7 linked regions of the Xenopus tropicalis genome follow. The protein of the gene in region 7 interacts with the protein of the main gene of each other region in a pairwise test. Links are inferred from orthologs where the notes say so. Each region holds a gene or a part of one and is shown on either strand. Other genes may lie near its edges.

Evidence for each region.
Region 1: the proteins of atf4 (region 7) and gcc1 interact in binary tests that used the Homo sapiens proteins (3 or more experiments, as listed by UniProt). The two-hybrid records come from large-scale screens. The link is inferred for Xenopus tropicalis from reciprocal best matches to the Homo sapiens genes ATF4 and GCC1.
Region 2: the proteins of atf4 (region 7) and ddit3 interact in binary tests that used the Homo sapiens proteins (3 or more experiments, as listed by UniProt). The link is inferred for Xenopus tropicalis from reciprocal best matches to the Homo sapiens genes ATF4 and DDIT3.
Region 3: the proteins of atf4 (region 7) and cebpg interact in binary tests that used the Homo sapiens proteins (3 or more experiments, as listed by UniProt). The link is inferred for Xenopus tropicalis from reciprocal best matches to the Homo sapiens genes ATF4 and CEBPG.
Region 4: the proteins of atf4 (region 7) and nfe2l2 interact in binary tests that used the Homo sapiens proteins (3 or more experiments, as listed by UniProt). The link is inferred for Xenopus tropicalis from reciprocal best matches to the Homo sapiens genes ATF4 and NFE2L2.
Region 5: the proteins of atf4 (region 7) and golga1 interact in binary tests that used the Homo sapiens proteins (3 or more experiments, as listed by UniProt). The two-hybrid records come from large-scale screens. The link is inferred for Xenopus tropicalis from reciprocal best matches to the Homo sapiens genes ATF4 and GOLGA1.
Region 6: the proteins of atf4 (region 7) and bfsp2 interact in binary tests that used the Homo sapiens proteins (3 or more experiments, as listed by UniProt). The link is inferred for Xenopus tropicalis from reciprocal best matches to the Homo sapiens genes ATF4 and BFSP2.

The regions. Positions count from the first base shown.
Region 1 is NC_030679.2:89,155,668-89,158,690, forward strand, and holds the end of gcc1 (GRIP and coiled-coil domain-containing protein 1), read left to right. Parts: coding exon 1-142; intron 143-794; coding exon 795-1,904; 3' UTR 1,905-2,293; downstream 2,294-3,023. UniProt on the Homo sapiens protein: Probably involved in maintaining Golgi structure.
Region 2 is NC_030678.2:140,584,049-140,588,452, forward strand, and holds the start of ddit3 (DNA damage-inducible transcript 3 protein), read right to left. Parts: upstream 3,003-4,404; 5' UTR 2,899-3,002; intron 1-2,898. UniProt on the Homo sapiens protein: Multifunctional transcription factor in endoplasmic reticulum (ER) stress response. Plays an essential role in the response to a wide variety of cell stresses and induces cell cycle arrest and apoptosis in response to ER stress.
Region 3 is NC_030680.2:115,638,254-115,642,689, forward strand, and holds the start of cebpg (CCAAT/enhancer-binding protein gamma), read right to left. Parts: upstream 2,839-4,436; 5' UTR 2,716-2,838; intron 1-2,715. UniProt on the Homo sapiens protein: Transcription factor that binds to the promoter and the enhancer regions of target genes. Binds to the enhancer element PRE-I (positive regulatory element-I) of the IL-4 gene. Binds to the promoter and the enhancer of the immunoglobulin heavy chain.
Region 4 is NC_030685.2:65,686,998-65,690,767, forward strand, and holds part of nfe2l2 (nuclear factor erythroid 2-related factor 2), read right to left. Parts: intron 238-3,770; coding exon 1-237.
Region 5 is NC_030684.2:28,212,964-28,216,733, reverse strand, and holds part of golga1 (golgin subfamily A member 1), read right to left. Parts: intron 2,264-3,770; 5' UTR 2,125-2,263; coding exon 1,990-2,124; intron 1,624-1,989; coding exon 1,533-1,623; intron 1-1,532. UniProt on the Homo sapiens protein: Involved in vesicular trafficking at the Golgi apparatus level. Involved in endosome-to-Golgi trafficking. Mechanistically, captures transport vesicles arriving from endosomes via the protein TBC1D23.
Region 6 is NC_030682.2:52,673,319-52,677,843, forward strand, and holds the start of bfsp2 (phakinin), read right to left. Parts: upstream 2,866-4,525; 5' UTR 2,865-2,865; coding exon 2,319-2,864; intron 1-2,318.
Region 7 is NC_030680.2:121,049,235-121,053,646, reverse strand, and holds atf4 (cyclic AMP-dependent transcription factor ATF-4), read right to left. Parts: upstream 2,916-4,412; 5' UTR 2,662-2,915; intron 1,594-2,661; 5' UTR 1,481-1,593; coding exon 1,294-1,480; intron 1,070-1,293; coding exon 246-1,069; 3' UTR 156-245; downstream 1-155. UniProt on the Homo sapiens protein: Transcription factor that binds the cAMP response element (CRE) (consensus: 5'-GTGACGT[AC][AG]-3') and displays two biological functions, as regulator of metabolic and redox processes under normal cellular conditions, and as master transcription factor during integrated stress response (ISR).

The sequences.
Region 1 (3,023 bases), on a different chromosome or scaffold from region 7:
AGATCTTGAGGAACTGAGAAAGGAGATAATGGAAGCTAGACGGCAGGGAGCAGAACCTGACCCAGCAGTAAAGAAGCTCCAAGCAGAGCTGGATAGAGTGAAAGAAGAGATGCATGCTCTTCTGCAAGAGGAGAGAAAAAAGGTATAAATACATTGTGTTAATGAAATGTTAAATATATGAGATGTTCCTAGTTAAGATGACTAAATGGGACCACAAAATGAGAAGTTTTGCCTATATGTGCAGATCACTGCACAGAAGTACAGCCTACATCAGCTGATTATCCCATATACATGTTAACAGGAAAGATGATTTGGCATGTTGTCCTCAGTGCTGGAATCATTGCTCCAGAATGGGCTCCTGAACGCAGGGCAAGGATCTGACACATTATGTTACTAAACTTAGCAAATGCCAGACTAGTTGGAATTTAGAGATAAGTAACTAGTTACTTTTACTTATGTACAGCTGAAAATACAGCATGTTGGCTTTTACAATCATATTTTCATATATCCATAACACTTCCTTTTGTTACGGGGAGCATGTGTCAAAAGTTGCACTTATTTCTGAGAGGTCTGAAATACCTATATATAATTTACAGGATATTCATGGTTCTTGTGTATTTTATACTGTCACCCCCCCTACATTCTTCAGTATGTCAGTCTTTTTCCTTTTTATAGTATATTGTTTGTTTCCTTTTTTCGTTTAAGTCTTTCCTTTGTACTTCGTTTCATACATAGTTTACCATGTTGCATTTGCAGCAGTTTTCATAATTTGTCTATTGCTTTTCCCTATTAAGAAGCTGGATGAGGAGCAAGAAACTATGCAGCGTTTTCTACAGGAGGAGCAACGCATCTGTTCCCTTGAGTCTCAGGTTTCCGAAATGTCAGAACTTCTAGGTGCAGCAGAAACATCCAAACAAAGAGATCAAGCAACTATTCGCAAGCTTCGAGAACGTCTAATACAGCTAGAAGCAGAGAACAAGACTCTTGCACTAACCTCTTCAATGCAAACCCCATCTGAAGTTACTTTTAATTTTAATAAAGGGGAGGATATGGATGAGGGTCCAGAGCAGCACGCATCTGTGCTTTTTTACCAGCAAGAGCTTCAGCAACTGAAGGAGGAATTTGAGCGTTATAAATCACGTGCACAAGGTGTACTAAGAACCAAAGGTGCACGGGAGGGAGAACTAGAGGCTGGCAAAAAACAAATGGCAGAACTGAAAGAACGATGTGTTTCTCTGCGACTTTCTGCAGAAGAGGCTGAAAGCCAGCACAAAGCAGAAATGGAGGCTGCCCAAAAACAGATTGCACTAATGCTTCAATCTCACCGGCAGGAGCTAGAATCTGTGCGCAAAGAGGGTAGAGACAATATGGCTCGTCTGGAGGAAGAAGTGCGACAGCATAGAGAACGAGTACTAGCTGTTTTAGCGGAGAAAGAGCAAGAGCTGGAGAAATTAAGAGAAACAAAGATCACATCAGTGGTCCCTCTCTCAGTCCTGGACTCAATTGGCAATGGCCTAGAACTTTCACAGGGTGCCTCCTCCACTTTTATAGTGTATGCAGAACAGTTGTCACGCAAAGAAGCAGAGATTGGAAACCTGCGACGAAGAAAGCATGAACTGGAGTCAGAACTACAGAGTATGCAGGAGAAATTGGCAGAGCAAAAGGAGGAGGCGAATATTCTACAGGAGCAAATGAAAAAAAATGTACGAGACAGAAGAAGGGAGGGGGCAAACATGGAGTATCTGAAAAATGTATTGTTAGGATATTTGACATTGCCAGACCCAAGAGGAAGACAGCATACACTGAGCGCTCTGCTTGCAGTGTTGCATTTTTCTCCGGAGGAACGAAATGCAGCATTGCGTGCACAGGAGGGGAGTAGGTGGTGGGCAGGAAGCAACAGGTGACGTCTTCTGAAAGACTTGCAGATGTTATAAGTAGACAGCACGTTGCACATTTTATTTGGCAGATATTTATGATCATCTCCTCTGTGAGGCTTAGTAATAGTAATAAGCTTAGTAATAAAACTTAAAGACCTTTTTTTGAGAGTATGCACTATTCATCTCAATTAAAAATAAGTATCTGACTTAAAATCTTGGTCCACCTCTCTCCAACTATATGGTTCTGGACTGGAGTGCAGGAGAGTGACTGTGTCTGAGGAACTGTTCTAGAAAATTACTGGTATAAGTGTGAGCTGACTAGTCAGACCATGCTTTTCAACCAAGTTGCACCCAAAATATGGCTGCCTTGGCAAAAGACACAATAAAACAATTGCTATGACAAACTACTGAATACATTGAAAGCCCGCTTGTGTTTTATGTATTAACAGGAAAAAAATTTACCCTGGTTTAATTAACCAAAGCACATAATATCTCCGTATTCTAAGCACAATAGAATTGCAGTTTCTAATCCCAACTAGGCAAACCTTTGCTTCATTTTCTTGTAGTAGTTTTCAGTAGACTGAAAACTAGATTCTAGTCAGTTTCTATTGGCAATTGCACATTTGCAATTTAGCATCTATATTTTAATCAGTCTATTATTGTTTTTAAATTCTCATTTTTAAAGATTGAAACTAGTCTGTAGCCAGGAATTGCTCATTACATGTGCTCACACTACATCAAAGCCGTGTGTGTCTGTGTGTCTAATTGCTGACTTATAGTTATTTCACAAGGATATAGTTGAGTTGTTACATACTGTTCCTCTCAAGACATTGCTTTTCCGTAGCAAATACAATATCTTTATATATAATATCTATATCGGTTCAGCAGATAAGAGGCTAAAAAGAAGCCATGCCACATAGAAATCACTACTCTCAGAACCATGCTGCTTTTAAAGTTCATAATGGGCCTTTTCATCAAAGGAATACTATACCCCCAGAATGAATACTTAACCAACAGATAGTTTATATTATGTTAAGTGACCTATTAAATAATCTCCTTTAAAAAAAGGACACACATGACTAACATTCCGTGCACATAGAATAACTTGGTGGCACCTCATACATTTTTGCTTGGTTGATGGTTGGC
Region 2 (4,404 bases), on a different chromosome or scaffold from region 7:
ACTCCCTGCAGAAATCTGAGGCAATATGGTCCCCATGGCTAAATGCCATTGCCCTATTAGACCTGCCCAGTAACTTATTTCAACCAAATAAACAGAGCTTAATCTGAAAGGTTGTCTTTTTCTATTATTGATACAATGACGGATTATTGAATAAAATGACCGCTTGCCATGGTACAAAAGATATCGGGTGATTATTTGGGGTCCACACATGGACTGAAAATCATACAAAATGTAGTACTGGTTTGGCCAGCTTAAGTCTTAGTGAGATCTTAAGCAATAAGGAGGCAATGTAATCAAAATGGCAACTAGATCTAGTAACCCATAGCAACCAATCTGCAGGTAGTGCTTACTAAATTAGGATCTTGAATACAATAGGCCTCGAGACTGGTTACTGTTACAGGTTAGTCTTTATTTTTTTTTTTTTTTATACAAATAACCTTCACACAACATGCACCATAAAACAACTATAAAACTTTGCCAGCTCGGTTAAAAAAAAAGGTAATTCCCCTCTAAACACCCTTAACCGAACACAGATCTAAAAGGTGCCCATACACGTGAAGATTCGCTCGCTTGGCGAGGTCGCCAAGTGAGCAGATCTTCAACCAATATCCACACCTACAGGTGGCAATATCAGGGAACATGTAGGCCAATTCAATCGTTTAGCTCTGGGGCCAAACAATCTAATTATAATGGCGGCAATGGGGCAGTCAGTTCGGGGACCGCATCTTTTAACTGGCCCGATCGATATATGGCCAATTTGGGGCAGATATCGGTCGGGTATGGCCGTCACTTCTGCCCCTACAGGAGCCGATAAGCTGTCATATCGGTCCAAGGGACCAATATCAGCAGCTACAATCGGCCCATGTATGGGAACCTTTAGTGTGGGAATGGACCCAAGCGGAATTATACAGGGATTTTTTTGGCCGCTGTAATCTGCTCTACTGCAAGCAACAAAACTTCACTAGGTTTTCCCACCATTAATTCATATTACTGCCGCTGGGAAGGAAATTTGGGATATTTTGTCAGCTGGAGCAGCGCAGATTTAGCAAAGGGGAACAAAATGTTTGTGACATTGCCCTGAAGGAAAGCAGCCTGTATTTATATTCAGTTAAACAAATGGACATTAAACAAGATAGTGATTGGTTTCATTTTATCATCTTGTTGTTGGTTCTACAGTCACTCTCAGCACCTGTTTAACTATGGGTGCCTTGTAATATCCATTTTGTGAGTAAAGGTGGCCATACACAGGCAGATTTAAGCAGTCAATTCAAGCTCTTTGGACTCTTCAGAAAGAGCATTTAGTTAATTGTTAAAGACTCTGCCCATGACTTTAATTTTGCTCTTAAATATTTTAGTTCAGTTTGGCCAGGGGGGTGGAAGCCTAAATTTCATCTGGCATGTGCAATTTCTATAGTTTTAGATTCTACCATCTACAATAATATAGGGCAGGTAATGGATCACCAACTTACATCCCGTGAGAGGAAAATTGAGGAAATTGAGCAGCAGAAAATGGAAACATAAGAAATCACGACAGCTTGGATAACTGAATTGCCGTTTGTTTTGGCCAGCAGTGTTCCATTGTCCTATTCTGTGACAAGCTCTATCAAATGATGTATATGGTATGCTCCAGTGTTTAGGAGATAAGGAATCATTAACAGACAGTCCTTGGAAAAGGGCAAATGAATATGCCTGTAGGACAAGCATTTTATTACTGGTCTGTGCCTGTACTCTCCTTTATCGGGTTTAATAAATGCCTTGGCTGATTTCAACCCCCCTGGTTGCCTTACAGCAGCACCAGGAGTGGGATAAAGTTAAATGGCTATGAAGTCAGGCAATACACGCACCGATAATATACGATATTTGGTGCGTGTATGGCAACTCGGCAAGGCGACAGATATCGCAGAAGGTTGCGGATATCGGTCGACACTCCAGTCGGGAGCCATTGAAGGCGTCTGAGCAAAATCTGCCTTCAGGGCTGAATCGACAGAAGGAGGTAGAAATCCTGTTGTTTGTACCTCCATATCTGCCGTTTCAGCCCTGAATGTCAGCGGAGGGTTGGAACGATCTTTTGTGCGACCACCATGTGGCCAGCTTTAGTGCTTAATCTATGCCAGCTGCTGTGTGATGGGAGTCACATTGGGGTCCGGACAGCTGGAGAGTGGGATCTGCTGCTGGGCTGCTGTGTCTGCCTGGCTGCTCCAGCTGAGAGACAACAGGGAGGAAGGGAGGGGGAGCCACCGCTGTATTGTAATCCTGGGCTCTGTAACCGGCAGCAGTGCGAGAGTGGGCTCTGGGACAGGCTTAACCAGCACTGACTGGCCCTGCCTCCACTCATTCATAAGCCTCAGATACCTGGGATGCCGTAGGTTCTAGAACTGAGCACTCTTTGCCCTTTTGGTCCCATATAGATTGTAAGCTCTACGGGGCAGGGACCTCGTTCATCTTGTTTCTGACTCTTATTGCAACTGTACCTTGTATTTATTTGTATTTATTGTTATACTTTGTATTTATCCATTATCTTTAACCCCCTGTTTGTATTAATGTATTCTACTGTACAGTGCTGCGTACATAAGTAGCGCTTTATAAATAAAGACATACATACATACATACATACATTTCGCCCCAACCAACAAAACAGACTCTAAAGAAATTATAGAGCATCTCCCCTAATGGACCATACCAGAACGAACAGTCTTACCAGTATCAACACTAAAGATGAACTACATCTCTCATCTTATAGACTCAGGCTCTGCACAGCGTTGGAATAATAAAATGGTCACAAAAAAACGTCACTGTGCGCTTGCCTTACTAGAGCCGGATTAAAGGCACACATAGGAGATGCCGATACCTATGTCCAAAACTCGCTGTAATCAATATGAACACAAGAAATAACAATACCTTTCTCCACGTAGGGTCTGTTCTCTTTTGACAAATAAAGCGACAGCGTGAGCTGGTTTGTGGTTGCACGTTAAGAGACTGTGGGCTCATGTTAAACATCGTCTGCGTCTTCAGCAAAACGACTGAGGATATGTGCGAAGAAGCCGCGTTATATAGCTCGCTGCCTTAGCCAATCAGATCGTCGATCCCAATCTAGCGTACACGACCCTTATCCTATTGCTTCCTCATTCGCCTCTAGCCAGACGTTCCGGGGAGGACTTCTATTGCCAGCCCCCAGGTGCCTTCTACAGCCAATTAGAAGGCTAGCTGAAAAAGCATAACGAGGTATGAAACGCAGAGGCCCGTCAACCGGAAGCCTAAAGGCGGAGACACTTGGGTATGCTGTTGTGCAGTCAGAGGGTGTGTTGCGGAAGTGTTTTGTTGGAAATCACGAGACGAGAGTGAGTCATAGTGGGTGATGCAAGAGCTGGCAAGCTGGGGCCAAGCCTTCCCCCAACCCGAGGGACTTTCCAAGCTTGCTTTTCACCTTCAGGTTGTACGACCTTGTCCGCAACCTGGTTTTATCATAAGAAAGCAACATAAATAGCGAGAACTAAACCTAAAGAAGTAATACAGAGAGATATAAAACCTGCGTTGCTAGAAACAACTAGCGACTAATCCTAACGCCAAAATTGTATAAGGTGCCGGGTTTTTTATCGTTCCAATTATTTAAAGCAATTTCACTTTAGAAATGTAGCTGGCTAGTATACCAACTAAAACACACAGGGGCATATTTATTATAGTGTATAAGCCAGCATGACTTGAGGCGATAGCAACCAATGAGATATTTGCTTTTGTTTCTAACTTGTGATTATTAAAATCTAATTGCTTATTGGTTGCCATGGGCAACATTACCTGTCATGTTGGCTTACACACTGAAATAAATATGCTTCTTAATACCACCTTATAATGTATCTAATTATACAGTTCATTACTCAAAAATAATTTTATTCCAGTTTGCCATGTACATAATGAATACATCTTTATTTAAAAAAAAAAAATCCATGAAAAGTCTATATTAAAAAACCTGTACAAAATATGTATGAAAAAAATCATGAAAAACAATGGAATCCTTAGGTGTAATAGAAGTTAATGTGGTCAAATGAAGTCACTTGATAGTGTCAATGTAGATGGACAGCGGATGTTAGCTGAACAGCATCAATTTAAAATAGCAAAAATACTAAGGTGAAAATATTGAAGCAGTAACAGGTGGGATGGTGGTTTTCCTGATGGAAAAACGAGTTATTTAAGCATTGACTGTTTTAATTACTGAGGCTAGTGCTAGGCATTGGGTATAGATGTATAACTCTTTAATGTACCACCACTCTTTAAATTTGCTGCTTCTCTGCTGTATCTAAAATTGTTGTGCATTGCACCATTATCATCATTCATTTATTTAACCAAATTTGAGGTTATTAAACTGGAAAGGCGCCTCTTCTAGTGAGAAAGTGCTATTGGGCAAATGGG
Region 3 (4,436 bases), about 5.4 Mb from region 7:
GATTAAACAGTCAGGTTTAGGAACTTCAAGTAACAAAAAGCAGCCCTATCTGTGAAAAATTATCAACATGACCTATAGGTAACTTTTTAGGTACAATAATATTTTGAAAAGTAGTTTTTTAGTGTCGGTATCACTTTAAGATACTTATATAATGAAATGTGGCTCACAGCTACGTGACTAAATACGTGTGGCTGCACACGCTTGCGGAACACACACCTTACTAACAGTTCCTGAGAATGATGCGACATGTAAGACTGGAGCAGAAACCCTGTCAGTTCAGGAATCAGTTAGAATCCAGTGAGGTTTGTGGCATTTCTAATGCTGCTGCCAGAATGGCACAATTTTCTCCGCTACTAAGCATTTGCCCTGAAATCCTGAGTCATACTAAGCACAAAGTGCAGTATGGAAACTCTGAAACAGTCATGGGTTATTCTGGAATAGTTTTACTTTCTGTATGAGGTAAGTGAGACACCCAGCATTCAGCTAAACATGATCACACTTGCACAGTACATGCCACCATCAACTTGCTAGCAAATCCAAGTTTAGAATTCAATGTAACTCACTACACAGGGTAAACTATAGATATCAACAAGAAAGCTACGGGCACAACCTTGGCCTCTGATCTTCATCTCATGGGGGGCTTGCTAAGTGTCTTTCTATTCAATTCCCTACCGGTTTTATACTATTTAATGCTTGTAGAATTGTCATTCTTGGGAGGAAACCTACACAAGCACAGGGTGAACATACAAACAACTTAAAGATTATCTGTAAATGAATATACAGCATTTACTTTAAATATTATTGGCTTGATAATTGACTGCCCATTACTGTTTTTACTAACTGAAGCGTTAAGTCACCATCATATCCTGATTCTCCTTGTTCTAAGGCAGCTAAGTTAACCTGCAACCACTGGACACACAAGCTAACTAAAGGTGCCCAGGGACAGATTTAAGCTGCCGACTTGATTCGGCAGCTTATCTGCATGCGTATGCCCCCCACCCCGACAAACCTCCTAAATGATATCTGCCCGAAAATTGTCCAGTGGTCAATCGGCAGGCTTGATTTTCCCATTGGATTGTGGGCTGCATTCATTTGGCCCTAGGGTAAAATTATTGATTTAGCTTGATATTGCCCACCTTTGGTGGGCATATTGGCAGAAGATATGATCATCTGCTGACCTCGCCAAATAAGCAGATCTTAACATGTATGCCCACAATTATTCAGACATCTTGGTCATTCAGACTGTAAGCAGTCAGGCCAAATTTGCAATTTAGTACTTCAGTCACAAGTGTATTCTCACCATAGTATACTGGTCAAAGAGAACACTGGGTTGACTAATGATCCCATCAATTACATTGGAAAGTAGTGAACTGAATGTGGCTGCACCTCCAGGCAGACAGGCAAGTTAAATCAGTTCCTGAAACTATACAATATTCTACACTACCAGTTAGATACACAGAAAGTCTCTCCGCTGATATGAACCTGCTTGCTCATGTGCAGTTGCAGGTAGCAGGAAATCCACCTCAACTGCGAGGTGAGGGCGTCTAGGCAATGATAGTTAAGGGGGCTTTTTGCACCCGGGGGTATAGTTATCTTTTAAGTAATCATTGTTAGGTGTTATTATAAAAAAATATCCCTTACATATACTGCTTAGCAACCATAGAACTCTTAATCCGTTGAAAAACAATAACTCTGAATAGACAAGACAGCCTATAATAAGCAATACCATTTTTTTCAAGGCCAAATCCCCTCTATCAACACCCAGCTAGGCACATGAACTATAAACCAAATTGTTTGGGATCTGGGGTCTGCCATAACCATCACTGGCTGTCACAATGTCCATTACAACTGGTAGTTTCCCACCTGGCATAACAGGCTCAGTAAATACACTATTGCAGTGTTCAGTGAGTATTCGGTTTGTTTTTGAATAGTGGCTAATGGTCCATCATACAATACAAAGCACATTAAGGCAGGGGCTTCTCCCTCTACACAGTTTGTACTCCTACCAGTATCCGCCAGGGCTCTCCCCACTCTCTAAAAGCATCACACACCTATAAAGCACATATAATAGGAAATATCTGATATAAGGAATGAGTTTGTTCCTATGTGCACAGGCAAAGCTATGCAATACAGAATAGTCTGGGTCAGACTTTTCAGGAGGACAACATGGGGGGATGGCCAGCAGCACCCACCGAAAGCTGTTACTTTAAACCTACGGAATAGTCAAGGTTTAGAGCACAACTGTTGCATGTGCGATATAGTCGGATGCGACAGTGGGCTGAGTGTGGATCAGCGCAAAGCCACTCACAAACTATGTCAATTCCCAGGGCGGCATCTCCCTGCCAGCCCTCCGGTAACAGTTAGCACTTAAGGCTTTGCGATGTACGTATGCTTCTTGCATTAGAAGGGTAACGCTCAGGCTGTTACAGAACTACAAATCCCATAACCCCCATCAGAAGGAAAGCCCTGCCACAGCTGGAGGCCGATGGTATCCCAACTAAAGGCTGAACCCCAACTTTTAATTACAACTTCTTCCCCTCTGAGTTATGCGACTGCCATGAAGTGTCTGAAGTGGTGTCTCTAGGTACAAATGCCAGTATGCCCTACCACCCAGACACTGTGAGCGCTGAAGGGAAATACAGCCGAACACCTGCAGGGTGCCAGGTAAAAGGCAGCCGTTCTGAGACGTTTCTACTCCGGTACAGTACAATTTACCTGATGGCTTCGAGGTCCTCCTGCCCGGGGAGGGAAGCCTATCCCTCCCCCACGACTTGTTTCCCCTGTCCTCACTAGGGATCCGTAGGTTACTCCTCCTCCGGACACTCGGGGCTGTGGATCATCCGAACCGCACAATAGATTGTTGCGAAATCACTCGGATCTTTCCTCTCTCGGGCAGCATGATGCAATCCCCCGACAGGCAGCAGAGGCAGCCAATCCGTCGTTGGCAAGTGGTGAGCGGCCCCGCCCATAGATCCCAAGTCCATTTTTTTCTTTTTCATATGTAACTTTATTGTTACAAGTTGCTGTCCTTCCCTATGAGGTCCCTGGAACAGCCTCGTTTGCACTCCTCACCTGTATGTGTTCTGCAGAACTGTATCATACAGGGTGCTGCCAAACTATTTACTTAATGGAGACGTATCTTATCAGCATGTTACACTAAAATTTAATGGAGAACTTAACAATTGTCTAAAATCAATTAGAATTTTTATACTTGATCTTAATTTAGTGGTTTTCAATTTTTTTTATATTAATATTTCATTTTGAGGCCCAGCGTTGAGTCCAACAGGGATGGTACCTGTTCAGCTTTTATCTGGTAAGCTGTCTGTTCCTGGTTCTGTCCAAATATGTGCAATAATGGTCCAGTTTCTACTCATCACTTGCCCCTGTCATAACAGACTGCCCTATCCCCAGAAAGTAGTGCCCTGTGCTGTGTAATATTAAATACAATTGTAAGTTCTGTGGGTGGAGCGAGCGGATCTTCTCCCGATATCCCCCACCTACGGGTGGGCCACCTACCCTGGGGCCAAACGATCGAATTATAACAACGGGTTTAGGCAAAGTCGGTCTGGGGACCGCATCAACGAGCCGATGCGGTCCCCGTTCCGACTAGATTTTTTAACTTGCCCGATCGATATCTGGGCGATTTCAGGCTAGATATCGGTCGGGCAGGCCTGTCGGTAGTGCCCATACACGAGCCGGTTAGCTGCCGAATCGGTCTAAGGGACCGTGTATACTGTGAGGATCACAGTGACATCTAGAGCTGGCCATAGACACACCGTTAATATCATACGAAACCTTGTTTCGTACAATATTTGTTGCATGTATGGCAAGTCGGTGAGGCGACCGTTATCGCAGGAGGCTGCTGATATCGGTTGACTCGCCGATCGGGCGGCTTAGAAGATTTTGATCGGGTGCCATTGAAGGCTTCTTTGACTTTAATATATTGCAATATATGGAAAGACAATCCCTGTTTCCCCTATATAGTTTTTCTAGGAAAAAAATAGCTGCCGCCGGAGGGAACGCCCGGTGCGGGTGGCCAAGTTGTTTGGCACACATGTGCATATTGACAGAATTTCCCCGCTTGCTCAGTATGCTCATGCGCCTGACATGGGAGCGGTTAATACAACTCATCCTCCTACATCACAGCCACGCGCATAATGAGTTGTGGCACTTGCTTATTATGTACATGTGTGTCACAACATGGCTGCCCATGGCCTCCCAGTGCAGCTAGCCTAGCGCTGAAATGGGCTTTTTTTTTTTCAAGGAAAACTATTGTTTCCCCCTAACCCAGTGATCCCCAACCATTGGTTTATGAGCAACATGTTGCTCACTAACACCTCTGATGTTACTCCCAGTCGTCTAAAAGCTGGTGCTCATTTTTTAATTTCTGACTTGAAGGTAAGTTTTAAACAAATAAAGACCATGTATACTGCCAC
Region 4 (3,770 bases), on a different chromosome or scaffold from region 7:
AGTCTCAATAGGTGCAGCCTGTTGGATTGGGATGAATTCCCCTGTCTCCTCATCTAATTGCAGTTGGGCGTAGAGTGCTTTTTCCCGTTCCTTCTGCAGCTGCTCTTGCCGCTCCTTTTCAAGCTTCTTCTGTTTCTCCAATTCATTTTCCTTCTGTCTTTGGTTATAGTCGAAAACCTCACGGCTAACACCGAGGTCAATGTCTTGCTTCCAAAGAATATCAATCAGATCCATATCCTAGAAGAAGTCAAATACATGGGGTTTAATGTCCTGATACTTTTTGGATAATTGTTCAACCCCATGAAGCAGCTATGAAATCCAACACGACTGATAGTGGTAGGTTACATCTTCAACTGGGCTTGGATTAAGCTGATGTGGTAATCTTTCAAGAGGCAGGTGAACATTACCTTCTCATGGGAAGTTGTGACACTGCCAGGTTCACATGAACATTCACACCCATGGGAGCAGACCTAATCTCCAGCTATATGCTAGTAATGATGGAGCAATGTTGAATTCTTTGGAAATGCCTTGGTCGGGAATTGTCAAAGTTGTTGCTCTCCAAATGCCATCAACCCCCTAAAAGCTAATGTTTCCAGGACTTTGGCATTAATAAGCATACAGTTGACAAGGTATATAATTAACTGACAACCCTGGATGTAAAAAAACGTACTAATTCTCTACTAATGGGGCTTAATTCAGGAATCCACATCTAGAAAAGTAAAAGATATAAAATGGATAAAAACAATACTGCTATAGGGTTTGCCTAGAAGTATGCAGGAATCTAACTGAACATCTAAAAGGTTTAAGTATAGACACAGACATGCTTTGATGGTAGCACTAGTTCTAAACCATGGGGATGAAACCAGTTAGGGGGCCTGAGGCAGTGAGTGGAGGAAATGGGGCTTAAAAAAAAAAAAAAAAGATTTGGAAGTAAATTGTTTCTTGTTCTACATTTTCCTGGAAGCCCAGCCTGAGGAACCAAATTAATATTTTAGACTTAGGAACCATGGCAGGATGACAATGTGTTCATAAATCTGTATCTTAGTAAGGAGACAAGGGATGCTTGAACCTGTGAAAAACACTGGTCTATATCTAAATATTAGGGAACAACCATGATTTTTCCTATGTTTTAAATATCCAATTTTCGCTTAGAAATATCTTCACAGCCTATTTTAGGTAAATGTAGGCGAATCTGTCCCATTTCGCTTCGCCGAAAAATTTGCAAAACGGCGGAAATGTTGCACGTAAAAAAAAAATTGTCACCGCGGCTATTCTATTGTCGCCCGCGGCTATACTTTTGTCGCAGGCGACAATTTTTGGACGCTCTGCAAATTTTTCCCCGGCGAATGTTTTCATCCGTTTTGCGAAACAATCCGCCAATGGTGAAATGCATTTCGCCCATCACTACTGGATATCAGTCTGTTCATCAAGCAGGCAGGTTTGAAAATGTCATCTGCCAATGCATATCTGCCAGGGCACTGTGCATCAACAGATGAGAAACTGAAGAGGAGCCACAGCTCCTAAAGTATTGATAACTGCTTTAAGATTACAGCCCTGATGCTACTGCATTATGTCGTCCAACAGGCATGTACCAGTGTTATCTCTCCCTTTTAATTTGCACCCCTGGAAAAGAATTGATCTATAATCAATATCCTAAAAGTGTGCTGAAACCGTGTAGCCCTAATGTGTCTCTACATGAACCAACAAGCTGTCACCTTTGGCCATCGTCCCCCCATTGTGTCGAGCTCTGGGCACCATCAATTGGCCATTACCAAATACAGCAGTGCTGAAACCTTCTGTCAATACCACAGAGAGAGAATTTGGACTACATTTTGGTTGCAAGAAGCTCATTACCAAACTCACAATACGACATCTAGGCAGCAACCTACCCAGAAAAACAATGCACATTTATACACTAGTAGGGCTCATTTATTATTGGCCAGTAACCAACCACTTGATGACCTCCACTCTCTTCTACTGTGGATTCCACCACACAAGCATGTTCAGCAGCTGCTTGTGCTCAGTTTTCTGAAGTGGACACAAGTAAAGTAGTGCATGAGTCATTAAAAGCTCAAAACTATGCTCCTCTAGACCTAATTGGCAGCTTAATGGCCTCCTAATATCCTTCCTGACCTCTCTGAAAATCAGCCAGATTATCTATCAATTTAGCAATTTATCTAGAAAATCAGCATGTTAACAGTTTTCTTTCAATCGGTCTCCATTATGATGTAATCACTAGCCTGGGAGCCTAACAATCCGTAACTGACCTTGTGAGTTGGCGGCCACAGCAGGTAAATACCTGGTCTAGCAATTTCGCAGCACATGACCAGCATACAGGGCATTTTGACCACCACTGTGCTCAGGCAACAAGTATGGGAAATCCTCACAGATGAGGGTTGTAGAGCAGTGGTTTGTGTGCCATGGCATGTTAGGAATACATTGGTAGTGGTGACACATCCATACCAAGCACTTTGTTTTTCTCCTGGGCACTGCGGCAGTCAAAATGCGTTATTATTGTTAACCCAACAGTTTATAGGATATAGTTTTCAATGAAGAAAGGTGTAAACCATATGCATTGATGTGACTTGGGAGAGATTACATCATGGGCCAAATACAAAAGCAAGTGGAGGAATATAATAGGAGGGTTGGTTGGAAACCCAATACTAACACTGGCTCTTTCAATCTAGTTTATTCCTCCTGTAACAAGATAGGCTGGTAAATACAAATGAAAAGATACAGATTACAAGCACTTTAGCACATAGCAAGAGTTTAACAGACAAGATGGGTATGGCTGAACCAATGATCAGAACGTTAAAGTCCATATGTTAGTATTATCCATTGTTTTCATAGACATTATATTCATGGACCTACGCAGGTTTTGTTTAAAGAGAATTTAAACCCCCAAAAAATCACAATTTGCCTAATGAAATGAAGAATTATAAGCAACTTTCCATTGTACCATTATTCTAAATGCTCAATGGTTTTAAAACTATTTGGAAAAATAACTGTGTGCTTGGGGAAGACACACAGAGCTACTTAGTAGCAGCTATATTTTCACTTCTACTAAATACCAGAAATACCCTGCCATACCATACCATTGCCTCTGCTAAAACACACGTAGAGACAATTATCAGTAAATGATCAGCATTGTCTATTTTAGTAGGCGTGACAAGTAGCTGCTACTAGTATCTCTGTGTGTCTTACCTCTTAAAAGCAGTATCTGTTTGTACCTTGCTATTCTCTGCTCTGGTGGTTTTGACTTTTAAAACAATGTAGCACAAGACTGCCTACTAACAAACCTATGAAGGAGCATACAAAGCTGACTTTTTTTTTTTTTACACGTTTCTAGAGACAGAACTGGCAGTGCAGAAGGGGACACTAGTGCTGCTTTCAATTGTAGTTATATGTAGAAATAAAACTGACAAGAGTAACCGACATAGCAGGCTGCCCACGTATTACACATTTCATGAGCAGAATAAAGTTGCCTATCTGGACTGTTAATTATTTATCAACCAGCATTAATCATCAATGTCTTTATACAGGAAAAGCTTCTTTATTGCGATACTTTATTGACACTTTATTGGAGGAGGACTTTTATAATACTAACCCACACAATACTGCTAGCAGGCTGTATGACCAGACATACCAAAGCACCTCAATAGTTAACGGGCAAGTTACTGTACATCCCCACACAACTCATATTGGGTTTCACAAAAGTCATTTGAACGAGGCAACATTAAACGTGCTCCTTTGTAAATGAGTCTGAAAAT
Region 5 (3,770 bases), on a different chromosome or scaffold from region 7:
GGAATAAAAATGTTTCCCCCGCCCCCCAACTGGTACCACACTAGGAAAATTATTACTGGCTGGTTATTCACCTTTTATTAAACTTTTAGTATGATGTAGAGAGTGATATTCTGAGACCATTTTCAATTGGTCTACATTTTTAATTTGTGTTTGATTAATTATTTATCTTTTTGTTCAGCTGCTTTCCAGTTAAAAACTTCAGCAGGAATCTGGTTGCTAAGGCCCAAATTACCCTGGCAACCAAGCAGTGGTTTGAATGAGAGACTAGAATATGAATAGGAGAGGGCCTAAATAGAAAGATAAATAATACCAATTGGCAATAACACATTTTTAGCCTCACAGAGCAGTAGCTTATGGGCTGCTGGGGTCAGTGCCCCTGTATGAAAGCTTGATAGAGTCAGAATAACAAAGCAAATTGTTCAAAAATGATCTAAAAAAAAAAAGCAGTTAAAAATTTGCAATGAATTGGCCAGCATACCAAAATTTAGTACCCCTTTAATTGCCTATATGTGTATGTAGAAAGCACAGACTGCCTAAAGGGATAATTTATTATAAAAAGTACAATGTACAAGACTGTACTATAGATCATCTTGGGAATGATTAATTTAAAGGGAATATATCAAGGGCTATATATTATGTATAAATTGTATTAAATGTTATAGCTCCCAGTGGGTCACTGGGTTATAGGTCCCAGTTTTGGTGGGACAGTTATAAACACCAAAAAAAGATGGAGCTTGCTAGAAAATGGATTGTGTTTCAGGAAGATTTAATAAATAATAAATGCTTTCTGAATTCAGCATACAAGTGTGTTTCATTTTTGCATATTTATTACATATGGGTGCCTCCAGGACCAGGACACAACACAGGCAGGTTCCCTTCTCAAGGATTCACTGCATTTTCAAAGTTCCTGGAGCTACCTGAACAGTTCCGGGCAGGTTATACGAGTCAGTTCAGACTCACTGCAGCTTGCCTTCTACTTAACCCTGTATGTGCCAGTGCATCCACGGTGACTAATGCTACTAATCCTGCACTTACAAGACTAACATTTTTTTTTCAATAATTTTATACAGTTTGTACAATAAACCCTTTTCATTCCAATTACAATATCCCTTTACAATGCAAGTGTGTCAGACAGGCAGACCACAAAGACAAGTGTTTATTCACCAACACATGGCAGTGACATTATGAGCTGCACTCAGGCCTCTGGTAACCCTGAAATGTTGCTGTCATGCACCTTTTTAAGAATAATTGTTAATATTCAGTGATACTGCTTTTATAATAATTGTCATTTGATTTCTGTAAGGAAGTCTGTGTCTGCCTGTTGTGCAAACTTTTCCTATATCTATAAAGTTAGTCCGATTTCCATTTACACATTATACAACCTGTGGCAACCTAGCTATTGTTGAACTACAAATTCTATTCTATTCCCTTCATCCAGCACTCAGCAACAGGTGTGGCAGCCACTACATTATTCATTATCTAAACATGAGAATTATGGTTAAATGAAAAGCTGCACAGTTCTTGCATCTTACCCATTAGCTTTGCTTCAAGGCGGCGAATCTGTTCATTTTTCCTGGAGATCTGAGAGGAAAGGTCTTCCCTGGAGCTGCTGCCATCTGAGGCCTAGGAAATCAGAATAAGTGATGTTTTTATAAACTTTAAAATGTAAGTTTACAGGTGCATAAAGCAAATTTACAGAAAAAAAATCCTCTTCATAAATGCCCACATTTGGGGACTTTTAAAGGCCTTAAGATAGCAATAATAGGTTTTTCTCTATATCTGCAGATTCCCCAGTTGTACGCTGAAATGAGGCATTAACAGATCTAATTTTCAGTCCAGACATATCAAAGTTGGTCCAAGGTGACCATATATATCCAACAGGGGCAATAAGGTAAAAATCTATCAAATCTGTGCATGAAGACCACTTTTAGTTTGCCAATTCATTACTTGTTATTATCTTACAAGTAAATATTTTAAACTGTAACTCACAAAATCATCTCCTGAATCAGCCCCTGCTGATGTGATGGACTCCCTGCTAATAGTACGGGGGATTCGGGCTGCCCCACCAGGACGTGGAGCTACAGCTGCCTCCTCTGCAATCTTTTTTTTCAGCTTGGTGAACATAGTTTCCACTTATTTGCTTCCTCAGACTTCGGTAAGAGAGTCTTAGAAGAATAGGTATCCGTAATCCTTTCCAGTCCGTGAGGTTGCAGTGAAGAGTGCTTCAAATCATCACAGAATCCACATTAAACCCATAATGCACCTGAAAAGGTATATTTTGAAATGTTATTAATCTAGTAACTCAATCTAATTTTGAATGTAAAATGCAATTTTTTTTCCACTGGCAGTGGCCCTAGCACATAAAAGCTGGTTATTTACTAGCAAAACAGCAGCAGGTAAATCCCTTGGATGGCACTAGTGCCATGCTATTTTAGCTCAATGCACTGGGCCACATATTAGGGCGATGGTTCTCAGCTTTCAGGGTGAGAACGAAAGAACAAAAAAACCTGGTTGCTTGCCACACCATAGAAAGAGAGAAAAAAACCTCATTAATAATGCACAGTCACCTGATTCTAGTGACAAATGCAAATGCTAAAACTGTCATTTAGAAGAGTCTGGCTTAAGTTTAGGCAATAAATGAGTTCTTTTATCAAACCTCTAAAACGAAAAAGACCAATGACCCGAGTGTAAGGGCACAAAACTCAAACATGGTGTCAAGCACAACGGAGTCATGACCTTGCCCTTTAGGGCATGACTAAATGGCACTCAAATTTGGGGGCATTCCAGGGGTTGCCTTTGTACTACCCACCAGCAGTGGATTCAGCCTGATGCACAACTTTTTGCAGGGCTTGGTGCAAATTGAAACAGCTCAGTGGAAGCTTTCACATAGCTTGCCTTGCTTGGTAAAGAAAGATATATGGAAAGAGACAAATATAATAAAGATAGATAAAGGAGCAACATAAATGATAAACCTCTGTATAATAAAGGTTTAATTCGCCTGGAGGCAAACCACTGCAAAGACTGCTGTGAGCACTGCATTGCCATTTTATCTGCCAGCTTTGCCTTGATGGTCCCAGTATGCACAGTAGGGTAATATTTTCAACAGGTGTATTCCCATGGGTGGAGAAAAAGTCTGGTGTACCTGAGGTACTGAGAAATAATTAAGACACCTCTTTAGAAGGAGCTGAGTAGTTATGTGCAAGTTGAAATTTGGGCGACCATTGGAGGTTTGTGTTTGGTGAGGGTCAGACTGGGAAAGTACTTGGTCAAAATGAACTCTTCACATTTCTGTACAATTGCACTTGGCATTGCTCAGTCCTTCCTGCCTTGTGTTCCGAATCTGCGCTCACTGACCCAACCGCCACCTCCTGACCAGGCAGTAGCTCCAGGGTTCCCTTGGTGCCCTGCACACTGGCACAAAAAGAATAGGGCACATCCATTTGTCGCATGCTGAATACTGGATATGACTCCAGTCAGCAACTGCACCCAATTTATAATGTAACAGTGGCAGGCACAGCACTATTGTGTCATGAAAATCACCTGTTTGATTCCGCTTGTGCCTGAATTCTGGAGAAACTGCATTGTGGGGAAAAAACATAGCGATTGCACTTGATATTGCACTCTGAACAGTGCATCTTATTGTCAACATAAAGTAAAAGGAAGAGCTACAACATATCTGATCAAGCCTGCAGGATAATAAGGGCTCTGGCACATGGGGAGATTAGTCGCCCGCAACAAATCTCCCTGTTCGCGGGCGACTAATCTCCCCG
Region 6 (4,525 bases), on a different chromosome or scaffold from region 7:
ACCTTGTGCCAACAACAACTGATGACATGCCAATGATCCTTCAGTTTTGCGATTATATGTTAACAAAAGGAATTCTGGGAGTGAATTCCAAACTCTTAAAAAAATCCCATTTACATGGGTTTATCCTATAGGCTACAGCTCACCCACTGGGTTTGAAGCTGAAGCCAGTGGGTGAGCTTTAGCCTATAGGATAAACCCATGTAAATGGGATTTTTTTAAGAGTTTGGAATTCACTCCCAGAATTCCTTTTGTTTGCTTTTGTCTGTATGAGGCAGTCTCCTCAAACTAATTTATTTGCGATTATATGTTGTGAGCTCTCTGGTCTGGGAGAGAGTCTGAAGAGAGAAATAGTCCCCCCCTTGGGTTCTCTCCTGCTCTTTCCTGTACTGTACTCCTGAATGTCTCTAAATATTCTCTTGTGAGGTATAAGTCGAACAGGGTGATCTGCTACAAAGCCATAGGGTCCCATTTTTTCTGGAAAAAAATACAGGGCTTAGTGTATATTTACCTGTCTTCCCTATTAATAACATTGGGAGCAAGCATCGTTTGACATTTGTATGTAAGTGATCAAAATATTAAAGGAATACTGTCATGGGAATTTTTCATATCAGTTAATAGAGCTTCTCCAGCAGAATCTGGACAGATGTTTTTATATTTAATTTTGACATTTGCCATGGGGCTAGCCATATTCTTCATTTCCCAGGGTGCCACAACCATGTGACCTGTGCATTGATAAACTTTTACTTTACTGCTGAGCTGCAAGTTGGAATGATATCACCCCCTTCCCAGCAGTCGATCAGCAGAATAATGGGAAGGTAGCAAGCTAGCCACTTCCAGTAGGTATCAGTATAGCACTCAATAGTAAGCAATCCAAGTCCAGCTTGGGACTCCTCCAGTTACATGGGAGTAGGAGAAACAATAGGTTGCCTAAAAGCAGTTCTAATGTGTAGCACTGGTTTTTTCTGAAAGCTCAGATTCAGGCACAATGCACTGAGATGGCACCTACACACCAATATAACAACTAAAAAATAATACATTTGTTGGTTCGAAAATAACATTTCAAATGGTAAAAATTACTGTGCTTCATCATCATTGTAAAGAATGCGCAAATGGAAGTAAGCCAGGAACTGGGAAACGACATGTCCACAACAGGGTAGGAAGGAGGGAACCCAAGAAGTGTGTTGGGAATTATGGGGGTTGTAATTTGTTGGGTTGCCTGCATTGGTGTCCACAAATAGGGGCAAGGGGGCACTTGTCCCTTTGGAATTATGCATAGCTCCCAGCTGCCTGTCCAAGATCACTGTTTATATATCCCATTTTGCTTTTTGTTCTTGGATCTTCTCAGCTCCCTGTTTCTCGAAAAAACATCCAAAATTGGTGCATGGCCATCCTGGATTTTTTACATGAGCCAGGCAGAGGGAGGCAGAGAGAGAGACAAGCAGCGTGGGAGCAGCAGGAAAGAAGGGCTTTGGTGCTGGAATTCTGTTTGTGCAAGTGTAGGTGAGGGAATGCTTTAGGTCTATCTGTTTCTGCATTTATCTTACTGGAATATATGGAGTTAATGTAGTGCCCATTGGACATTTCAACATCATTATACTGTCACATCTGGGGTTAATATGCAGATTATTCATTTTCCATAGTAATTATATTGGGGTTAAAATGGCCATTTTCTGTTTCATTTAGTGATTATACTGGCTCTTTTTTGGTTAATATGCTCGTTGTCCATTTTCTGTAGTAATTGTACTGGCACGTCTTGGGTATGTTTTAGTAAAATGGGTGTGGTATTTAGGGGTGTGTTTGCAAAGTGCATGTTACATAGTTACAAAGGGCTGTAAAAAGACCAGACTCAAGTTCAACCCTTCCAAAAAAAACCCAAAAACTTTCGCAGCACAGCGCACGGCAGATTTTCATGGTTTATACTCTTTACTTAAACACCCCCTAGTTATACAATTATGTAAGGCGTGAATAACCTTTTGTGCTTTGTTAATAAAGTGGTTTCCTTCAAACTTGGCACCTAGTTACTGTATACAGGTTTAGTCTTTGCCCCAGTTATTGGTCACCAATATTTTTTTTTTTAAATGTATTTTTTATTGTTAAATTGTTAATACCAGTCCTTGCCTAGATAAGGTTTCACAACCCAAACACTAGAGTCAATGTCATCACAAGCCAGTTATCCTTCCTGTATGTTTTTGCAGTGTAGAATACCTGGAGGTATGTTCTTGCCCTTTTAATTTTTGAATATTGCCATTTATTTGCAATGTTTGTGCAAGGTTTGCATTTAAAATGATATATTAAATAAAGTATTATTTAGCACTTACTTGATAGTAGATACTTTCCCATTTATCCCTGAGAGTCCCCCAGCTGCTCACAGTTGAAGACTTCTTGTCCAGATAGACTCTTATATGGTCCTCCAGCTCTCTGTTCACCTGCTCTAAAGCCCTCACTTTGTCTATGTACTCAAGAAGGCAGCTATTCAGAGACTCAAATGTTGGGACTCTTCCTTTATCCAGACCTTGAGCTGCTGGAACAGGAGGGCCTGAGCTGCGCAGTCCTTGCATGAAAACACTGCTGATGCCCAAGGCCCGTCGAGACACTCGTGTACCAAGGCTGCTGGTTCCACTACTTAGAGCACTGCCTACATATACCCCAGGATTCCTTGGTGCAATGCAAAAGACTCGGTTGGTTGCACCTGAACATTCTGAAGAGGTGTAGTGGTGCTGTTGCCCCAAGATGGAAGATCTGCGCCTTGGTAAAGGCATGATGCTAGAAGATCCCACCACAGTTTCTGGTCTCAGACGCTCTATTGCCAGGCTCAACACACAATTATTTTTGGCTTGTGTATTTTCAGTATAGAATCCTGTCATATGTTTTGTTCTAGAACATTGTGCTTGTACTGACTGTCATGGAGTATTTGTGCCTCATTGTCCTATGGTATTCAGTACCTCAGCAGTTCCATTCAGGAATGTTCTGTTGTAGCAAATAGTGGCAGATGAAAGAAGGTGAAATGGACACCATGCTCACATTAGAGTTGTGTCTGAGCTTCATTCAAAGGGTGCAGGACATATACAGTATATACACGTTTATATTTTCCCAACTATAATTGTTTTATATATATATATATATACATATGGTGGGGGACCAAAACGTTGAGTCTTTTTCTTCAATCAATCATTTTTTAAATCATGTGAGTGCTGACAATGGTTGCTTATATATATATATATATATATATATATATATATATATATATATATATATATAGCGAACCCAGGGTGGCACTCTGGGTTCAGGTGGCCCTGCCTATTTTTGAGGCTGAGTGTCTCCCCTATCTCTCCCAACTATTCAGGCAGTGCCGGATTTCAAATTGGGGTGCCCCGAGGCCGCCCCCTTTGTGCGCCCCCCCCCGCCACGAGCGCGCATATGGAGCAATGGGGAGAGATCCCCATTGCTCCGTATGGGAGCAAAATTAAAAAATTTCACTGCAGCAGGGCAGCATGCCGCCTCTAAGTTTGCGCCGCCCTAGGCCCGGGCCTTTGTGGCCTCGCCACAAATCCGGCCCTGTCTTCAGGCTAAGGAAGGGACACCCTACAAGCTAAGGATACCCCCCCTGGTTTTTCAAATGTTGGGAGGTATGCATTAACCCCCAACTTAACAATGAGATCACTGCAGAAATGGATAGTGGGCATTCCATTAACTTCCGACTCACCAGTGAGATCATTGCAGAAATGGGCAATAAGCACATAATTTATACAGTTATATTGCATCTATTATGTATTCTATTAAGCCTAGGAGCTGTTCCTGCTGAATTGTCCTTTGTACAATGGAATAACTACAGTGTGCTGCCATTAAGTTATCTATCTATACAGGCTATGAAAAAATGTATGGGGCCGTTCCTGCTAAATTGTGCTTAGCACAGGGGAATACCTATGCTTACAAAGTTTTACAGAATCTCTCTGTACAGGTTATGAGCAAACATAGGAGGCTGTTCTTGCTGAATTGTGCTTAGAATATAGCAATACCTACAGTATACTGCCATATTTTTATGGTATTTCTCAGTACAGCCTATGAACAATTTTAGGGTGCTGTTCCTGATTAATTGTGCTTAGAACGGGCATACCTATGTTGCCATAGTTTAATGGAATCTTACAGTACAGGCTGTAAAAACACATAGGGGGCTGTTCCTGCTAAATTGAAATAAGTACAGAGGAATACCTATGGTGGAGAAGAGGCAACATGGCATTTGTGGGGTTGGGAGGTATTTGGGGTAGGGGCATTATGGCATTTGCTTAGTTATGGAGGGTATGTGGGAAAGGGGCAGCATGGCATTTGTGGAGTTGGGGAGTGTGTGGGGTACGGGCAGTATGGCTTTTGTGGAGTTAAGAGGGGTATGTGGGGTAGGGGAACATGGCATTTGAGGGCTTGGATGGTATGTGGGGTAGGGGCAACATGGCATTTGTCGAATTAAAGGGGTATGTGGGGTGGGGCAGAAAGGCAATTGTGAAGTTAAGGGGGGTAGCATGGCATTTGT
Region 7 (4,412 bases):
TTACATGCAGGCACCAGTGCAATTGGCACTAAAAGGGTTAAGATCAAGGTTTCATTATAATGTATTAAAGGGAAAATAGAAAAGAACCCCACTTAGTTCATTTTGAAAACCCAAGCTAATTTATACTGCACAAATAAAGAAATCCGACAAAAAAGTAACTACAAAATAATTTATTAAGTAGACATTCCACAACATTCTTAAGTGACCTATATACAACATACACACGCTCCAGCTTTGTTCCCTATTCAAGAACTTTTTGCTCGTTTGCTTTTGGCCTGTCGGACTTCAGCTATCAGATCTTTCAAATACTGGATCTCTTTTGTTAACGAATCTACTTTTTCTCTAAGGGTATCATTTTTTCCCTCTAGTTCTCTGCACTCTCCAGATATTAACTCTTGCTCTGCTCTTTTCTTCTGTCTGTAGCGAGTGGCTGCTGTTTTGTTCTGCTCCATTTTCTTTTTCTTCTTGTCTACTCTGGGCTGCCCTCCAGCTACTTTCACCTTCGCCATCACATCTCTATCCTTACAGGGAAGATCATAAGGTTTGGGTCTCTCAGAGACTGGGGACTCTAGGGAGGACTGAGGACTACTATAGCATTCTACAGTTGATGGACTCTGCTGAGGGGATTCCAAGTAGGAGGGGCTCATGCTGATTCCACTATCATTATCAGAGGAATCTTCCTTCTCACATTTAAGTATCTCTAGAGTATATGTTGCAGAGGACTTTTTCTCATCCTCTGCAACATCTACCTCACTACCTACATCCAAGATGAAGGAATGGTCTGGGCTAGAGGAGAGAGAGGCTGTCAAATCTGGGCTAAATGGGGCAACCTGATCAGCATCCAGTGGGGACTCTGGAAGAGAGACAGGTTCAGGTGATGGCACAAAGTGGCCAATCACTGCTGCATGAGGTGGGTCCTCTAGGAAATCACATGAGTCTTCCAACGTGGATGTTAGCTCATCTGGTGAGATAGTGGATTCCAGATCTTCCAACCCAAACAGGGAGTCTAAATCAAATTCCTTCAGATCCATCTTTTCCACCATCCAATCCATGCCGGAGAAGGCGTCCCCTAATAAAGAACAAAGAAGGCTCAGAAAGCAAAGCAACAAATTTCTATCATCTCATAAGCTAAGTTTTACAATCTTTCCACTTAAAATGCCCATTAGCCATTGAACAAATATTTTAACAAATCTATTCCAGTAATGTGGCTGCAAAGAGGTGCTTCAAGCAAAATACATGAATATTCTATTATACAGAAGAGAGACTGAACCCTTTGAAAGCCAGTTTACTTACCATGAAAACTGCCTAAAGATTCAACATAAGGCAGCAGGTCAGAGACGCCATCCTTAGCCTTGTCGCTGGAGAACCCTTGCGATAGGAGGTACCCGGGCACCTCAAATTCATCCTCCAAGAGACCCAAACTCTTTTCAGCCGCCAAAAACGACTGGTTGAAGGGGGACAGAAGGTCCCCCAACAGCATCTCGTCGCTTAACAAACTCATCTTTCTGTAGGATCACGAATTCGACTGGTGATGACAATTTTGAGCTTTCTTCCTCGTATACAGCAATGCTGCTGTGGGATGCCTGGAGAAGCCTGCATAATAAAAGCAAATATTAAGAACATTATTAAGAAAAACATGCTTGTTCTTCACAATGCTTCTTCACAAGAGCAGTATTATATTCTAGTCTTCTCTTCCCTCATGACCAAATATGGGCACCTTCCCTCCGGCCCCACCCACACCCGGTGATTCACAAAGCTGATCAGCAGCCATTTCACAAGTTAACCATCTGGTTTGTTCTCCACCCTGGTATGGATGCCATTTTAGCATCAAACCCCTTTAAATACAAATTGCTAAACCATCCAAACCATGTCCTAAACAAATGAAGTCACCTTCCTCACATAAGATCATTGTTGAATGCTACATTTTATTGTTAAGCACAACACTAACTGAAAATACATTACTAATTTTCAATGCCATCTGGAGCGCTGTTATGAGAGATTCCCCTATGCATACAAGGGAAACAGCTGTCTCTAGAGAGCAAGTCTAAATCTGCCTGGGGAGAGTCTCATTTCAAAGCACACCCATTAAGAATTCCCAAGCCACACAGGAGCTAGAAATACCACTAAAGGAGATCAAACCCACTGTGACATTGAAACATTTTAGAGAGTCCCCCATTCAACAAACTGATTAAGGCAATAGCTACAATTCCTAGTGGAATTCGTTTAACCCTATGGACACCACCCAGGTTACAAAAGCAGCAAGTTAATAGCTTCAATAATTTAAACCGTAAACACAAGATGCAAGTTCAGGAAATCTGCATTTGTAAGAAAACCCAAAGGTCCCTTTGTGGCCCTAATGAATGAGATGTATATACTGATAATTGTCACTCCAGCAGCCGCACAATATGGCTGATAGCTATTGTCTACCTGCTGTACATACATCGTACCCTAGGGGGCGCCAGAGTCGAGTCTGCCAAGGACAAGAGCCACATGGCAAGACACATAAGAACATTTACGTTCGATCTACCGCTACATTACCCCAGACATTCCTTCCTGCCCCGTTTTATATTAATACTCCTGCATTTCAAGCAATTTCCCACCCCCCACACACACACACTTAACACCTCGCCATGTAGTACATGACCCAGTAGGGATACTTACGCCATGGCTGTGCCGTTGCCTGGTGCTGCGGGCGCCGCTGGGAGCTGCTGCCTCGCTATGGCCGGGGGAGAGGGGAGCCGCAGGCCTGTGCTGCCGCTATAGCGCCATGGCTGTCCGCTGGTTATTGCGGCGCCGGACTGAAGAAATCACTGTTGGAACCTGCTACAGCAGAAGCGTCGCGTCCTCAAACCTTAGTATTTAGTTAACAAAAAAGACCCAGCGACAGCAAACTACGTTCCCTCTTTCATTCCAAGCTGCAGACTGACGTGGCGGGCGATTTACCGCCCCTTTATATAGACTCGTGGTTCCGCCCCGTGTATCCGTCCGCTCTGTAGTCTCTTCTTTTGTAGCGTCGCTCTGACATGTGATCTGACGGCAACGTGTGCCTCCGCTCCAGGAACTATACTGTGTAATGCAATTATAAATGGATCAATAGGGTTCTAACAGAATAAGATTCATCGCGGAATAAATGTGTGCGTGGTGTTTATTAGAGTAAACGAAGGCAATATTTTAGTTCATTGTTTGATACACTGTAGTGCTCTTGTACGAATTTCTGCGTACGCCAGGCCAGGGCAAGACCCAGACATTGTACTTCAAAGAGGACAATGTGTCAGTGTCACCGACGTAGAAAGTAGTGTCAGTCGCCCGATACAAATGAAAACCATTTCGGTCATTAGTATAATAATCCATGTTTGAGTGACTGGCGATAGACAGACGAACAGGCCTGATAGATTTTTATTATACGTTAAATATAACATTTTATCAACACCCCCTGCTTTGCCACAGTCTATGAAAGAGGCAAGGGGTAAATACCACCAATACGGATAATAAGCACTTGGGGCAAATATTATGGCGTTCCCCCGAAGTAACCAAGAAATAAAACTCCTGACACCACTTTTTCACTTTATTTATATTGGCTAATTAAGCATTATAGACATAAACGAAAAGGGCGCGCTAGTTTTAATTAATTCATTTGGTGTGTCACGCGTGTTCCTGGCATTGCCCCTCCCCACTGTTATGGAAACAAACCCACGTCCCACTCCCACATTATCCCCCCCCACTCTGCCCGCCCTGCCACCAAATGGTGAATCCGCCCAGAGACGCTTTCATATCACGAAGCCAACGCGTGTACAGCTGCCGTTGATTGGTTGGCCCAGGCAGCGCCCAATCCCTACACGCCGCGCTATTGGCTGAAAGCGAATGAGCCCTCTGAATCACGCAGTGGGCACGCAAAGCTGCTGCACCAGAGTGAGGCGGATGGGCGGGGCGCCGGCGCTGGAATGTGAGGAGAATCGCTGATGGGAACTTGGGAGCGTGTCCTGGCGCTGCCATATTTGTCTCTTCCTGCTCGTTTTGTAGCTTCGCTGAAGTAAAGTGTATACACTATAAAGAGCATCTGTTGTTGGAGCATTCCTGAGCCCACATGTTCGTTGTAAAGTCAGCCCCTGTAACATTACAAATTAAGTGGGAGCCATTTGGTGTTTTAAAGGAGTATGAAGTATGTTGTGACAGTTCTGGACTATACCATGTTAACTGCTACATTTGAGGGGGATTACTTTAACACTCTGCGCTTATAAATGTGGCTACACTTTCAGTGTGATTAGTGGCACCATATGAGGTGCATAAAGTGGCAGCTGAATGTGGGGCCACATTGGGGCGCTTATATATCTCATTATCCGTAGTCTGGCCCTGCCTATTACTGTGGCCCCTAGTGAAATTTGGCAGGGGGGGGGGGGGTATAGCACTGGGCA